Pelodiscus sinensis: one gene and its partner. The protein of the gene in region 1 purifies or fractionates together with the protein of each later gene. This does not show direct contact. Links are inferred from orthologs where the notes say so. Each region holds a gene or a part of one and is shown in the gene's direction. Other genes may lie near its edges.

Evidence for each region.
Region 2: the proteins of HSF1 (region 1) and HSPBP1 purify together in Homo sapiens (affinity purification with mass spectrometry; 5 studies listed by BioGRID and IntAct, counting the BioPlex papers as one, with this or other methods). This does not show direct contact. The link is inferred for Pelodiscus sinensis from reciprocal best matches to the Homo sapiens genes HSF1 and HSPBP1.

The regions. Positions count from the first base shown.
Region 1 is NW_027465930.1:120,267-127,912, forward strand, and holds the start of HSF1 (heat shock factor protein 1), read left to right. Parts: upstream 1-4,596; 5' UTR 4,597-4,719; coding exon 4,720-4,836; intron 4,837-7,646. Other genes in the region: ribosome biogenesis protein BOP1, read right to left, coding at 1-192, 4,409-4,447. UniProt on the Homo sapiens protein: Functions as a stress-inducible and DNA-binding transcription factor that plays a central role in the transcriptional activation of the heat shock response (HSR), leading to the expression of a large class of molecular chaperones, heat shock proteins (HSPs), that protect cells from cellular insult damage.
Region 2 is NW_027465977.1:226,359-233,470, reverse strand, and holds the start of HSPBP1 (hsp70-binding protein 1), read left to right. Parts: upstream 1-4,080; 5' UTR 4,081-4,095; coding exon 4,096-4,135; coding exon of another isoform or gene 4,136-4,142; intron 4,143-5,052; coding exon 5,053-5,179; intron 5,180-5,345; coding exon 5,346-5,505; intron 5,506-5,748; coding exon 5,749-5,962; intron 5,963-6,417; coding exon 6,418-6,642; intron 6,643-6,997; coding exon 6,998-7,112. UniProt on the Homo sapiens protein: Inhibits HSPA1A chaperone activity by changing the conformation of the ATP-binding domain of HSPA1A and interfering with ATP binding. Interferes with ubiquitination mediated by STUB1 and inhibits chaperone-assisted degradation of immature CFTR.

The DNA.
Region 1 (7,646 bases):
TGCTGCCGTGGAGCGCGAACCGCCTTTCAATTCCCCCTCTGCTCCACTGTCCTGGTCCTCCGCCGCCTCCTCCTCTGAGCTGCTGTCGCTCCCCGAATCCTCCAGCCCCGAGTAGATGCTCTCTTCGCTGTCTGTCAGGCCATCGCTTCCCTGGTCATGCTCCTCCATGGCTTCAGCGCGGAGAGCGGAGGACTGAAAGGAGAGCACAGGCATCACAGCACAGAACCCCTCGCGGCCGGTCTCCCCCGGCCAGCCTGGTCACAGCTCCAGCTTGAGAACTTGCTTTTGAATACGCTGAGGCAAAGGTGCTCGGGGCAAACTGCATCACAGGGCGTATCATTCTGACCGTTGCCACCTGCTGAACGAGTGCCCCCGTCTTCGTGCACGTCTTGTTCACGTACATGATGCGCAAACCCATCGTACTGACCTAAGGGCTTGTCTCCACTAGGGGTGGATGGACACTGCAGCAATCGTGCCACCAGCAAGTCTAGTAAAGACTCCCTCCCGGTTTTCCGCATCTTTCCTAAAGCGTGTGCCCAAAGCTGGACCCAGCGCTCCAGCATGGGACTGTTCCCTTCGGAGTCTCGCATGCAGAGGCTCTGTTAATACACCCCAGAGCAAGCTCAGCCTTTCACACGTGCTCCACAAGAACACTAGGGATGGAACAGTATAGCCGTTTACACAGCTAACCAGGAAGCATGAGATTCCTGGTTACCATAATGGCAACAGACCAGCTCCTGTCCCCGCTGCTGGGGAGCTGGCTGCCACCCTGTGCTGCTGGCTCTGTATCAGAGCCCATGGCATCAGGCAGCAGCCAGTTCCCTGGGAGAGGGGTAGAAGCTAGGAGGGGGGCCAGCAGCCAGTGGCCCCACAGCAGCCTGCAGTGCATAACCACTAAGATTTTTCAGCGGTTAAACGGTTACCTAGTTAACCGCTTTTTAACATCCCTAATGACGACTCCTACTCAGTACACGACCTTCCATAAGCCTCAGATCCTTTCCAGCAGTACTACTGCCTAGCCAGGTACTCCATTTTGCAGCTGTGCATTTGATTTTTCCTTCCTAAGTGTAGTACTGGGCACTTGCCTTTGTTGAATTCTCATCCTGTGGCTGTAAGATCAATTCTCCAATTTGTCAAGGTTACTCTGAATTCTCATCCTGTTCTCCAAAGTGCCTACAGAGTATCCTAAAGCACACCCAGGACTGAGCCCTGCAGGATCCCCCAAATCCATTCCCTCACTTTGATGTCCAACCACTGACAACTACACTTTGAGCGCAATCCTTCAACCATGTGTGCACCCAGCCTAGAGTAGTTTAACCAAGGCCACATCTCCCTAGTGTGTGCATGAGACTCTCTCTTCCTCCCAATGTATTCATTTTCTTCCTCCTAATAACAGCACAGCTTTGCCACTGAACGGCCCTCCAATCCCAGCTCTGGCTCCTGGAATCTAACCTTTCCATTACTCCCCTCTATGCGGAATCTTTCAGTGCTTATTTGTGGCCCAGGAGTGGCTTACGTGTGGCATGAACCCTACAGCTGGATCTCCTGTGGACCTCCCTCCCCATCAGAAGTGTCTCCTCCAAGTATCTAAAAGGGTGTTACAAGGAGGACATTAGGAAAAACTTCCTACCTGTCCGGGTGATTAAATCCTGGAATAAATTGCCTAGGGAGGTTGTGCAATCTCCATCACTGGACAAACACCTGTCAGGGATGATCTAGATGGTGCTTGGTCCTGCTGTGAGGTCAGGGGACTGGACTTGAGGACCTCTTGAGGTCCCTTCCAGTTCTAGGATTCTAAGGCAGGGGTGAGGAACTTGAGGCTTGCTTGGATCCAGCCCCCAATGCTCAGGGCTCCCTTCAGCTTTGGGGAACCTGTGCTGGAACACCAGCCTCCTCCCCCCGCACAGGGCTGGAGCACACAAAATCTACCGGGCTCCCCGAGGCTCTAGTGTGTGAGGGGAATGTGGGGAGAGTCTTTCTCCTCAGTCAGGGGCCATGTCAGTGAGGGCTTTTTTGTTTTTTGCTTTATACTGGCGTGCTGCCCCCGACTCACAAAAGGTTCCCACCCCTGTCCTAAGGCATGCTTTCACCGGCACATCCCACCTCAGATAAAGCCTTTCATGGCCTAAGCCCATCACCCCCTTGTGCAGCTAGGGCCCTCTTGCACTGCTGCAGAAAGGTGAAGGTATGCTTGGAACATTCAGGGGGTACAACCTGTTTACAGAGAATTTAAAGAGAAGCTAGACAATTTCATGGAGGTTAGGTCCATAAAAGGCTATTAGCCAGGGGATAAAATGGTGTCCTTGGCCTCTGTTTGTCAGAGGCTGGAGAGGGATGGCAGGAGACAAATCGCTTGATCATTGTCTTTGGTCCACCCTCTCTGGGGCACCTGGTGCGGGCCACTGTCAGTAGACAGGCTACTGGGCTAGATGGACCTTTGGCCTGACCCAGTACGGCCGTTCTTATGTTCTAACCTAACTTCTTTCATACCTGGCCCCATGCCACATGGGGTCAGCGGTAAAGAGCCGTGTGTTAGGGCAGGCAGGAAAGGGAGTTCAGGCAGGGCTGGATTGTGTAATATGGGAATTGTGAGCAAGTCGGTCTTAGAACAGGGTAAAAATCTGTTTCCAGACAGGTGTGCTGCTGATTCTACGAATGAATGGGGAAAAGCAACAGACACTATCAGCAGTGCATCCCAAACACTCCGCATGCGCTCACAGCGCCACCACACCACAACTCTCTTAGCACTAGCGAAGAGAAACAGCTCTCAGGAAAGCTACAAGCAAGACTGACTCTGCTTGTTCTGTGTGTACATACACCAGAAAATACTCCCTCCACTCCTTTCCATCAAAAAAAGGAAGTTGGCACACACCACACATGGCTAGACCATAGAAGTCTCAACCCAAAAGGTAAGTCAGCCTTGGTATCCATGGGTCCAGCTAGGAGTCTGGGAATCTCTCCCCACCCACCCTCCCACTATGGGAGCACCCTCACCTCTTGCAAGGAAAGTGGCTGAGAGGCTCAGGCAGGAAGAGCCCTGACTTCCCCCCTTTGCTCAAAGGAGGTCCCCCCACGTGCTTGTTTGTTTGTTTGTTTTTTGATCTACTGGCCAAGCATGGAGCTCTGTGGGACAAGGACTGGAGGGGCTGGCGGGTGGGTGTGTGACCAAGCACATGCTGGGCGTGCTTGGGAGCAGAAGGCATCGGACCCCCGCTGACTCCAGCCTACTGTGCCTAGCGCCCCGCTCACAGCCTGACCTCACCACCCCCCCAGCCCTGGGGCCCAGAGCCCCCCCTCGCCGGCCCCCCAGCCCTGGGGCCCAGAGCCCCCCCTCGCCGGCCCCCCAGCCCTGGGGCCCAGAGCCCCCCTCACGGCCCCCCCCAGCCCTGGGGCCCAGAGCCCCCCCCTCGCCGCCCCCCCAGCCCTGGGGCCCAGAGCCCCCCCCTCACGGCCCCCCCCAGCCCTGGGGCCCAGAGCCCCCCCCTCACGGCCCCCCCAGCCCTGGGGCCCAGAGCCCCCCCTCACGGCCCCCCCAGCCCTGGGGCCCAGAGCCCCCCCCTCACGGCCCCCCCCCAGCCCTGGGGCCCAGAGCCCCCCCCTCACGGCCCCCCCCAGCCCTGGGGCCCAGAGCCCCCCCCTCACGGCCCCCCCCCAGCCCTGGGGCCCAGAGCCCCCCCCTCACGGCCCCCCCCCAGCCCTGGGGCCCAGAGCCCCCCCCTCACGGCCCCCCCCAGCCCTGGGGCCCAGAGCCCCCCCCTCACGGCCCCCCCCAGCCCTGGGGCCCAGAGCCCCCCCCTCACGGCCCCCCCCAGCCCTGGGGCCCAGAGCCCCCCCTCACGGCCCCCCCCAGCCCTGGGGCCCAGAGCCCCCCCCTCACGGCCCCCCCCCAGCCCTGGGGCCCAGAGCCCCCCCCTCACGGCCCCCCCCCAGCCCTGGGGCCCAGAGCCCCCCCCTCACGGCCCCCCCCCAGCCCTGGGGCCCAGAGCCCCCCCCTCACGGCCCCCCCCAGCCCTGGGGCCCAGAGCCCCCCTCACGGCCCCCCCCAGCCCTGGGGCCCAGAGCCCCCCCTCACAGCCTCCCCCAGCCCTGGGGCCCAGAGCCCCCCCTCACAGCCTCCCCCAGCCCTGGGGCCCAGAGCCCCCCCCCGCGGGGCCCCACGTCACCCACCAGGCCGCAGCGCGCCCCCCCCGCCCGCTCCATGGCGGCTCCACGAGTCCCGCGCGCCGCGCCGCTGCTGCTCCTCACACCACGTGCGAGAGGTCAGAGGTCACGGCGCCCCGCCCCCCAGGCAGCGCTCTCCCGGGCCAGGCCGCACCGCGGCGCGCGGCTGAGAAAGACGTTCCGGGCCCAGCCGGACTGGGGTCAGGGGTCAAAGGTTATTGGAGCCATTGGCGCACGCGCTTGCTACCTCGTTCGGAACGCCCAAGGTGCTGCGCGCCGGGCGCATGCGCGGCAGTCCAGCCGGGCAGCGAGCGCAGGCGCAGAGCTCCACGGCCGGCGGCCGGACGCGCGCGAAAGCATAAACCGCGCATGCGCGGCGCGCTGGGCCTGTCGCGGGCGGGGGGGAGGCGAGGGAAGCCGGCGCATGCGCGCCGCTGGCTCGGAAGGGGGCTTGGTCGGGAGGCGTCCCAAGATGGCGGCGGCCATGCTGGGCTCCGCGGGGCGCCGTGCGCAGGCCGCGGCCGGGCCCCAGGGCGGGGGGCGGCGGCGCTAGCGAGCATGGAGGGCCCGGGCGCGGCGGCGGGGGCGGGCGGCAGCAACGTGCCCGCCTTCCTCACCAAGCTGTGGACCCTGGTGGAGGACCCCGACACCGACCCGCTCATCTGCTGGAGCCCGGTGAGTGCGGCGCACCCGCGGAACTCCTCGCCGCAGGGCGCGCGGGACAGCCCGGGAGGGGGACCCCGCTGTCAGGCCGAGCGCCGGGCGAGCCCGCTTGGAAATGGGGTTGCAGCCGCTCCTGCCGGTGCGGGCCCCTGGCTTAGACCGGCCCCTTGCAGGCGGGTCTGGGAGCCCCACAGGCGGCGAGTAATCGCTGGAGCTTGATCCTGTCGAAACCCTTTTTAAACCAGTCAGTATGGTTCCACGGAGGAGCTTTGTAATCATGGCTATTTCCATACAACTCCAAGTGCTGGTGTCCTACCAGTGTCGAGATGCCTTATACTGGTGTGTGTTATTCCCCTTCTTCATGGGAGTTACTATAAGCGCCAGCATAACTAGGTGCACGCTGTAGCAGTGGGTAGTTAAATTGGTATCTCTTGCATGGGTAGACAAACCTTTGTACAGCTGTATCTCCTAAACAGTAGTAGGAGTAAAGAGGTTGTTTTTCTTCTGGGTATAGCATTGGTGCGACTGCAGCTGTACTACTGTGTCCAGTTGAGGTGTCCTCAATTCAAGAAGGATGTTGTTAAATTGGAGAGCGATCAGAGAGGAGCTGTGAGAGCGATCAATGGATTAGAAAACATTCCCTATAGTAACAGACTCAAGAAGCTCGGTCTTTTTGCTTAACAAAGAAGTTGAAAGAGTGACTTGATCACCATCTGTAAAAACCTACATGGGAAATGATTAACAGGGAGGCCATGTCTGCAATAGCCAACTTAAAGTGGGGCAGGTGTGTGTCCGTAATATCCCTCCTGTGTCTCTGTAATATCCATTATGTGGCTGCACTATGGTGGCAGAAGAGAGCTTTCCTATTAACATAAAAAAACACTTCTATGAGGTGTGGTAGCTGTGTTGGGCGTGGTGTTCCTGTCTGTGTAACTTATGTAGTTCACGAGTCTGGTTTTTTACACCCGAGGCAACATAAGGTATACCAACAAAAGTAATCGTGTAGGCATGGTCTGAGTTTAATGAACCATTGAAACACATTACCAAGGGTCTTGGTGGAGTCTCCATCCTGGCTAATTTTTACATCAAGATTGGCTGTTTTTCCTAAATTTCTGCTTTGGGCATTACTTTGGGAACTTCTCTGTTGTGTTATATAGGAGATCAGAGTGGTCTCTTTGCTTTGTAACCTATGAAGCAGGTGAGATAAATCCCATATTTTGTGTTCTCTTCATGAACAAGGGCTTCCATGCGAATGAGAGTTGTGGCTTTTATATGAAAAGTGACAGTGTCCGGAAGTAGTGAAGTAGAGCCTTTCAAAGGAAATTCTGTGGCAGCCAACATGTTTCTTGGAGTTCAAAGAAAGGATGCCTCCTCGTTCCTTGGTATTTAATTTAACAGAATGAACAAGCACAAAAGTTTGCATTTTCTGTAAGTTAAATGTTTCATGTTCTTTTCAGAAACTCAGTCTGTAAACTACAGTATTGTATCTAAGGTCTTAAGGGAAATCCTAAATTTCTATTGTTAATGTTGACAAGTGTGGGGAGAAAAATGTCATCCAGAAGATTGACTTTGTGTGAGGAATAGACAGCTTGTGCAGGTGTGGCTGCTCTCTACCAATTTCTGTTTGTCTGCTGCATACTCTGGTATCTTGTAGCTAATGTAGTGTTGTAGCTGAGATACGCATCCCAACTTCACAGAACAGCCAGACTGGGTCAGACCAAAGGTCCATCTAGCCCAGTGTCCTGTCTACGGACAAGTGCCAATGCCAGATGTCCAGAGGGAGGGAACATAACAGGGAATCATCATGTGATCCCTCTCCTGTCATCCATTTCCACATGAACAGAGGCTGGGGACACCATTCCTACCCATCCTGGCTAATAGCCATTGATGGACCCAACCTCCATGAATCTATCTTGCTCTTTTTTGAACCCTGTTAAAGTTCTAGCCTTCGCCGCATCCTCTGGCGAGGAGTTCCACAAGCTGACTGTGCTCTGAGTGAAGAAAAACTTCCTTTTGTTTGTTTTAAACCTGCTGCCTATTAATTCCATTTGGTGACCCCTAGTTCTTATATTGTGGGAACAAGTAAATAACTTTTCCTTATTCACTTTCTCCACACCACTCGTGATTTTATAGACCTCTACCATATCCCCCTCCCCTAGTTTCCTCTTTTCTAAGATGAAAAGTCCCAGTCTTTTTAATCTCTCTTCATATGTGATCCATTCCGAACCCCTCATCATCTTTGTTGCCCTTTTCTGAAACTTTTCCAATGCCTTTTTGAGACGGGCCGACCACATCTGTACACAGTGTTCAAAATGAGAATGTACCCTGGTTTTATAGAGAGGCAATAAGATATTCTCTGTCTTCTTCTCTGTCCCTTTTTAAATTATTCCTAACATTGTTTGCTTTTTTGACTGCCGCTGCACACTGAGTGGATGTTTTCAGAGAAATTCCCACAATGACTCCAAAATCTCTTGAGTAGTTGTAGCTAAATTAGTCCCCATCATATTGTACGTGTAGTTGGGATTATGTTTTCCAATGTGCATTGCTTTACATTTTTCAACATTACATTTCATTTGCCATTTTGTTGCCAAATCACTTGGTTTGGTGAGATTTTTTTCGAAGCTCTTCACTGTCTGCTTTGGTCTTTACTATCTTGAGCCGTTCGGTATCATCTGCAAATGTTGCCACCTCCCTGTTTACCCCTTTCTCTAGATCATTTATAAATAAGTTGAATAGGATTGGTCCCAGTACAGACCCTTGAGGGACACCACTAGTTACCTCTCTCCATTTGGAAAACTTGCCATTTATTCCTACCCTTTGTT
Region 2 (7,112 bases), on another chromosome or scaffold:
AGTGAACGTGTGTGCTTGTTGGTGCATGTGGCTGTGATTGTCATGTGAACGTGTGAGAGTGCTGCGTGGTTGTATGATTGCTGTGTGAACGTGTGTGCTTGTTCTGTGCGTGCGGCTGTGATTGTCGTATGAATGTGTGTGCTTGTTGTGTGGTTGTATGTTTGTTGTGTGAACATGTGTGCTTGTGTGCGTGCGGCTGTGATTGTCATGTGAACGTGTGTGATTGTTGTGTGCATGCGGCTGTGGTTGTGAGACTGTCGTATGAAAATGTGATTGTGTGTGTGTGGCTGTGATTGTGAGACTGTGGTTGCATGATTGTTGTGTGAAAGTGTGTGATTGTTGTGTGAGTGTGGCTGTGATTTTTGTGTGAAAGTGTGACTGTTGTGTGAGTATGGTGGTGTGATTGCTGCGTGAGTGTGATCGTGTGATTATTGTGTGCATGGCTATGATTGTGCAATTGTTGTGTGCATGTGACTGAGTGCTCTGTGATTGCATGATTGTTGTGTGCATGTGGCTGTGATTGTTGTGTGACTGTGATTGTATGATTGTTGTTGTATGTATGGCTGAGATTGTGTAATTGGAGTGTGTGTGACTGTGAGTGTTCTGTGATTGCCTGATTGTTGTGGGCATGTGGCTGTAATTGTGTGATTGTTGTAGGTGTATGGCTGTGATTGTATGGCTGTACTAGTGTGTTGTGGCTAGGACTGATTGTCAGATGTATACGTTTGGGATTGTGTGATGGTTGTATGATTGTATGGCTGTAACTGGGTGATTGAGCCTGTGATCATGTGACTACTTGTGTGAATGTGAATTATTGTGACTATGGTAAGTGTAATTCGCTCTGTGATTGTATAACTATAATGCAGTGATCATGGCTGTCATTGTGTGGTTGTGGTGTGTGTGTGTAATTGTGTGTGTGATTGTATAGCTCGATAGTTGTGCAATTGCGATTGTGTGATTGTGGTTGTGATTGTAGTGTGTAATGGTAATGTGTGATGGTTTCTGTGATTCTGTGGCTGGAAATTGTGTGAGTGTGATTGTTGTGTGGGTAATTGTGGCTGTGTACGTGCGGTTGTGTAACTGTGGGGTTGTAACGACTGAGTTGCGGTTCACGGAGTCTGTGTTCGTATGGCTTGCTAATTGTGAAATCGAGGCTGTGATTGTCGCGCGCGTGTGCCATTGTGCATGTGTATTGTGATTCTGTGTGTGCCACTGTGTATGCGCCTGAGACCTGTGGGGGAGGGGCGGATTCGAGCACAGGGGACTGTGACTGATTGCCTGGGTGTGATTGTGTGTGTGGCAGTGTGTGTGTGAGACCTGCGGCTCAGAGACAGTCACACACACAGTGTGTGTCCATGTGTCTGACCCCGCCCCAGATATGGAACAACACTGGGCGCTGCCCAGCATAGCCCCCGCATCCCCCATCCCCTGCCCCAACCCCACCTCTCAGCCACCCATCCCCCACCCGCCCCATGAGACCCTCTGTGGCTGAGGGGGGGAGTCAAAGCCCCATTCAGGCAGCATCACCCTAGCCAACCAGTCAATGGTCACCCCGGGGGCAGATTGGAGCCAGCGCCCCCTGGAGGGGAAAGGCCCTGGGCCCCATTCCCCACCCCCCTGGGCCCGCTCGCTCTGACAGCCAACTCTGGTTGTGTGGGAGATTCGGGGCAGGGGGAGAAGATAAGAAGTAGATAGCTGGGGAGGAGTGCATGGGGAGACGGGAGGGTGAGATATGTGGGGATGGAGGGTTAGATGGGGGGTGCATGGGGAGACAGGGAGGGGGAGGGCTGTATGGGGATGGAGGGATAGATGGAGGGTGCAGGAGGGTGTGGGGGGGATGGAGGGATAGATGGGGTGTGTGGGGAGAAAGGGAGGGGGGAGGGTGTGGGGGGATGGAGGGATAGATGGGGGTGTGTGGGGAGACAGGGAGGGGGAGAGGTGTGGGGATGGAGGGATAAATGGGAGTGCGTGGGGAGACGGGGGGGTGGGAATGAAGGGGTAGATGGGGGGGTACGGGGGGAGACGGGGAGCTGTGTAGGGATGAGGGATAGATGGGGGTACATGGGGAGACAGGGGGCTGTGTAGGGATAGATGGGGTGCATGGGGAGACAGGGAGGGGGAGGGGTTTGGGGGAGATGGAGGGATAGATGGAGGGTGCATGGGGAGACGGGGGGCTGTGTGGGGATGGAGGGATAGATGGGGGTACATGGGGAGACAGGGGGCTGTGTAGGGATAGATGGGGTGCATGGGGAGACAGGGAGGGGGAGGGGTGTGGGGGAGATGGAGGGATAGATGGAGGGTGCATGGGGAGACAGGGGGGCTGTGTGGGGATGGAGGGATAGATGGGGGAGGGGGTGCTCCGGCTCTCATCTGGGCGCTCTAGGACTCCCTTAGTGTGAGTCGGCATGTGCTCCCCTCCCAGCACATCTGGGGCGAGGCCATTCAGCTGCGGGGGTGCCCTGGGGACCCCTGGATTCTCCCTCGGAGAACCTCCACCCCTCCGTGGCTCTGCCCGCTTGGCCGTTAGTGGCAGAGGCCATATGAGGCCGGGCCCATCAAGCCCGGCATCCTGGCTGGTCCCTCATGGAGGGGGAGGACCTGCCCCCCTCCCTGCTGGCTCTTCCCGATCTCGAATCCTCAGAGCTTGGCTCCAGCGCTGAGCCACAAACTCCAAGTCTCCCCCCTCGATCTGTGTCTGTGACACTCCGGGCCGTTCACCCTCCCCCCCCCCCAGGACCGGCCGGCTCAGGCTCTTGTCAGACACAGGCAGCTTCGGTTCCACCTCGGCCCCCGATTCCTTCCAGCCCAGCCGCGCCGGCCACAAACTTTCCCTTTACCCCTGGGAGCCAAGATCCAGGAGCCATCCTGGCCCCCCCAAACCCGGACCTCCTTGGCCTCCATCTTTCTCCAGCTCCAGGCCCCTCACTTCCTAACCTCTGTGCCACGTCAGGCTGGCACTGGGGATCGGCGTCATGACCCCGATTGTTTCCAACACCAGGCTGGGGCCAGTGCTGGCTCTGGGAGGTGCCGGGGAGGGGAGGGACCCAGCTGGAGTTTGGAAAGTGGGGGGGGGGAGGAGCGGCTTTCAAACCTCAGGCTGAAATTGCCTTAGCAGGTGGCTTTGTTCCACTGTGGGGGGTGGGGGATGAGTCGCTGCCTTGCTCCTCCCCCTAGGTCCCCCACAGCCGCCTGAACCCTCCCCCCAGCAAACCTCCCCTGGATCCCCTGCCAAATATCCCCCCCCCCCGCAACCCCAGCCCCCTGCTGCCCAATCCAACCCCACTGCATCCCCCCATTCACCCTCCCACAGCCTATCCGTTCTCCCTGCCCTGTACCCCCGTCCCCATCCCTCCACCAAACCAGCCCTCCCAGTTCTCCCCTGCCCAATCCCGCCCCCACCATCTCCCTGACCAGGACCAGGGCTGTGCATTGGCTTTTAAACAGCCCCTTGAAAACTGGTGCGCCAGACCCCACCCTCTCCCATCGGGGCCGGGCCCTGCAGCCTGCCCGCCTCCAAGCCTGAGCCCTGGGCATCTGCCCCCCTGCTCTGCTCAGTGGGGCCGGCCGAGCCAGATGCCTGGGGGAGCTCATGACATCCTGGGGGTCACAGGCCCCATCCCGGCGTCTCTGTCCGCCCTCCTGTCTCCCCACTGGCCAGGTCTTGCCCTGGCCCCTTGCCCCCTGCAGAGCGGAGAGCCCCCGCTTGGGGGTGAATTGTCCCTGGGTTGCCCCCTTGTCCCTCCGGAGCCTCCAGTTGTTCTGGGGCCTTTTGTGTCCCATTCACTGCGCCCCAGGTGGCCCCGGCCCCCCAGGGCTCCAGCTCCCCCCGCCGCTGTGACCCTCCCCCATCCCCAGGCAGCCACGCGGAGTCGGGGGAAACCGAGGCAGGCCCAGGGCGTAGCGACTTAGGACAGAAATGTCCTTCCCACACCCCCAGAGGGGCCCCGCAGCCCCCCCCCCAGCGCCCCGCCCCCAGCCCCCAGGCCCCGCCCCCTCCCGCCCAGCTCTCCGCTCCCGCCAGCAGGGGTCGCCCCGCCCGCGTCCCACCCTCGCTGCCCCGCCCCCTTTTTGGCTGAAACGTCACGTCCGGCCAAGATGGCGGCGCCCAGGGCTGGGAGTGGGAGCGCGGGGCGCGGTAGGGGGTGAGAGCGGGGGAGGGGCGGGGTGTCGGGGGCAGAGGCAGTGGGGGAGGGGCAGTGACTGGAGGGGGAGGGGCGGGGTGTCGGGGGCAGAGGCAGTGGGGGAGGGGCAGTGAATGGAGGGGGAGGGGGCGGGGTGTCGGGGGCAGAGGCAGTGGGGGGAGGGGCAGTGACTGGAGGGGGATGGGGCGGGGTGTTGGGGCAGAGGGCAGTGGGGGAGGGGCAGTGAATGGAGGGGGAGGGGGCGGGGTGTCGGGGGCAGAGGCAGTGGGGGGAGGGGCAGTGACTGGAGGGGGATGGGGCGGGGTGTTGGGGCAGAGGGCAGTGGGGGAGGGGCAGTGAATGGAGGGGGATGGGGCGGGGTGTTGGGGCAGAGGGCAGTGGGGGAGGGGCAGTGAATGGAGGGGGAGGGGGCGGGGTGTCGGGGGCAGAGGCAGTGGGGGGAGGGGCAGTGACTGGAGGGGGATGGGGCGGGGTGTTGGGGCAGAGGGCAGTGGGGGAGGGGCAGTGAATGGAGGGGGATGGGGCGGGGTGTTGGGGGCAGAGGCAGTGGGGGAGGGGCAGTGAATGGAGGGGGATGGGGCGGGGTGTTGGGGCAGAGGGCAGTGGGGGAGGGGCAGTGAATGGAGGGGTGTCGGGGGCAGAGAGCAGTGGGGGGAGGGGCAGAGAGCAGTGGGGGGAGGGGCAGTGACTGGAGGGGGGTGGGGCGGGGTGTTGGGGGGCAGTGGGAGGAGGGGTGGCTGGGGGAGAGCCGCGAGTGACCCCCTACGCCCCAGGAAGGGGGGTGTGTCTGCTTTGGGAGCTGTTGAATGGGGGATGGGAGGGAAGCTGAGAGCACCATCCCCCGCCACCCTCCATACCCTGTGACTCTCAGCCTGGCTGACCCCCCCCCCCCCCCCGCCTGCTGATCTAGGTTCTTTGCCTCCGCCCAGCGACCCCTCTCTTGGTGTCAGCGGTGGGAGCCGGAGATCGGTGATACCCCCGCCCCTCCCCCCGTGCGCGGACACCGCATCTGATAACGCCAGGACGCCCAGACCTAGGTGAGGAAGGCGCAGCTTTGGGGTTACAGCCGGGCGCCAGGGCTCCCTTTGGCTCTGGGAGGGGAGTGGGGTCTAGTGAGTAGGCTGGAGGGGAGGCTGCTGGCCTCTTCTGGGTTCTCTCCCCAGCTCCGCTGCTGACTCCTGTTGTCTGCGCCTTTCTCTGCAGGGGGCCTGGTCTCTGGCCCTGCACCGCCCCAGCCATGGCCGAAGGGGGCGCCGGGGGGAACCAGCCGCCACGCGAGCACCCGCGGAACCTGCAGGGGCTGCTGCAGATGGCCATCACCGCCGGCAACGAGCCCAGCCAGTTGGAGCCCATGTCTGACGAGGTGCCCGGCTGTGCTGTGTGGCCGCCAGGACCCCTGACTCCTCTCCTGCTTCTGGGAGCGGGGTGGGGGCTAGTGGTTAGAGCAGAGGACGGGGGTTTCTGGGTTTCTCCCCGGCTGTGGGAGCGCAGTGAGGCCTGGTGGTTAGAGTAGCAGGGGCTGGAGCCAGACTTCCTGGGTTCTGCCTCTGGCTTCGGGAGGTTTGGGTTGGGGCCGGGCGCTGACCCCCTCTCTGCCCGCTCCCAGCGGCGGCAGTGGTTGCAGGAGGCCATGGCTCAGGCGTTCAGGGGGCAGCTGGAGGAGGTGGAGCAGATGAAGGAATGTCTGCGGGTGCTGGAGGCCATGTCCCCGGGCGGGGACGGTGGCGAGTCCTCGGAGCCAGCTGAGGGCGACCCCTCGCGCCAGGCCAGTGCGCTGGAGCTGCTGGCTGAGCTGTGTGAGAACCTGGACAACGCCGCAGGTACGGGGGCGGGGGGGTTCTCAGAGCAGGGCAGATTCTGGGGGGTACTTGGAGCAGGAGAGGGGCACTCGGGGCAGGACTGGAGGGAGCTGGAATGGGGGGGGTGCCTGTGGCCTGAGAAGGGGGAGGATTGCTGTGGCTTTGGGGGGAAGGCAATTGGAGGTTCTGGGGGGCCTGTCCCCAAGGCAGGCTGGTCTCTGAGATGGGGTCCCCTCATATCAGGGTGTCTCTGGAAGGGACCCAAACCTCCGAAGATGGGGGCAGAGCTAGGTGAGGGTGACCCCAATAAGGTGGGCCTGGCATAAGGGGTGCCCCGCCAGCACTGCCTGAGAACCCTATATGACACCAGAGTCTGTGTGTGCTGGGGAGGGAGATGTGGGGCAGCAGAAGGACCCTCCCTTGGGTGGGGGGGACTCCGTGACACCTGCCGTCACGCCCCCTCTTCCCCCTCCCAGATTTCTGCAAGCTGGATGGAATGCGGCTGCTGGCTCATCGCTACCTGGAGCACCCTGTCCCGGACCTGCGCTGGCGTGCGGCCCACCTGGTAGGCACCTGCGCCCAGAATGTGCCCAAGGTGCAGGAGCAGGCGCTGGCGCTGGGCTGCATGCGCAAGCTGCTGCGGCTTCTGGACCACGACGGGGCCGACCTGGTGCGCGTCAAAGCGCTCTTCGCCATCTCCTGTGAGTCCTGCAGGGGCGCCGGCTCCTGGCCAGTCTGGGGTGGGGATGGAGCCCGGGGCCTGGCCACTCTACGGGGCTTTGGCTCTCATCTGGTCCGGGGGCGGGGGAGGTGTGGGGTGCTGGGCCTGCCCCTTCTAGGGGATGCCCCCCAGAAAGGGGTGAGAATGGGGCCCTTTCCCCTCCAGGGGGCGCCAGCGCCACAGCCATAGAGAGCATTGGCCCTGTGGTAGCAGAGGGGCCAGGGTGGAGCCTTGCTCGCCTCTGCCCCTGGAGGCTGGGAGCGGTGTTGCAGCGCGGGGAGGAGCATGCATGTTGCTCTGGGTGAGGCTCTTTCTGCCCTTCTCCTCGGCGTCAGGCCTGGTGCGCGCCCAGGAGGGGGGCCTACAGCAGTTCCTGCGCCTGGACGGCTTCTCAGTGCTCATGCGAGCCATGCAGAGCCCCGTGCAGAAGCTCAAGGTGAAATCCGCCTT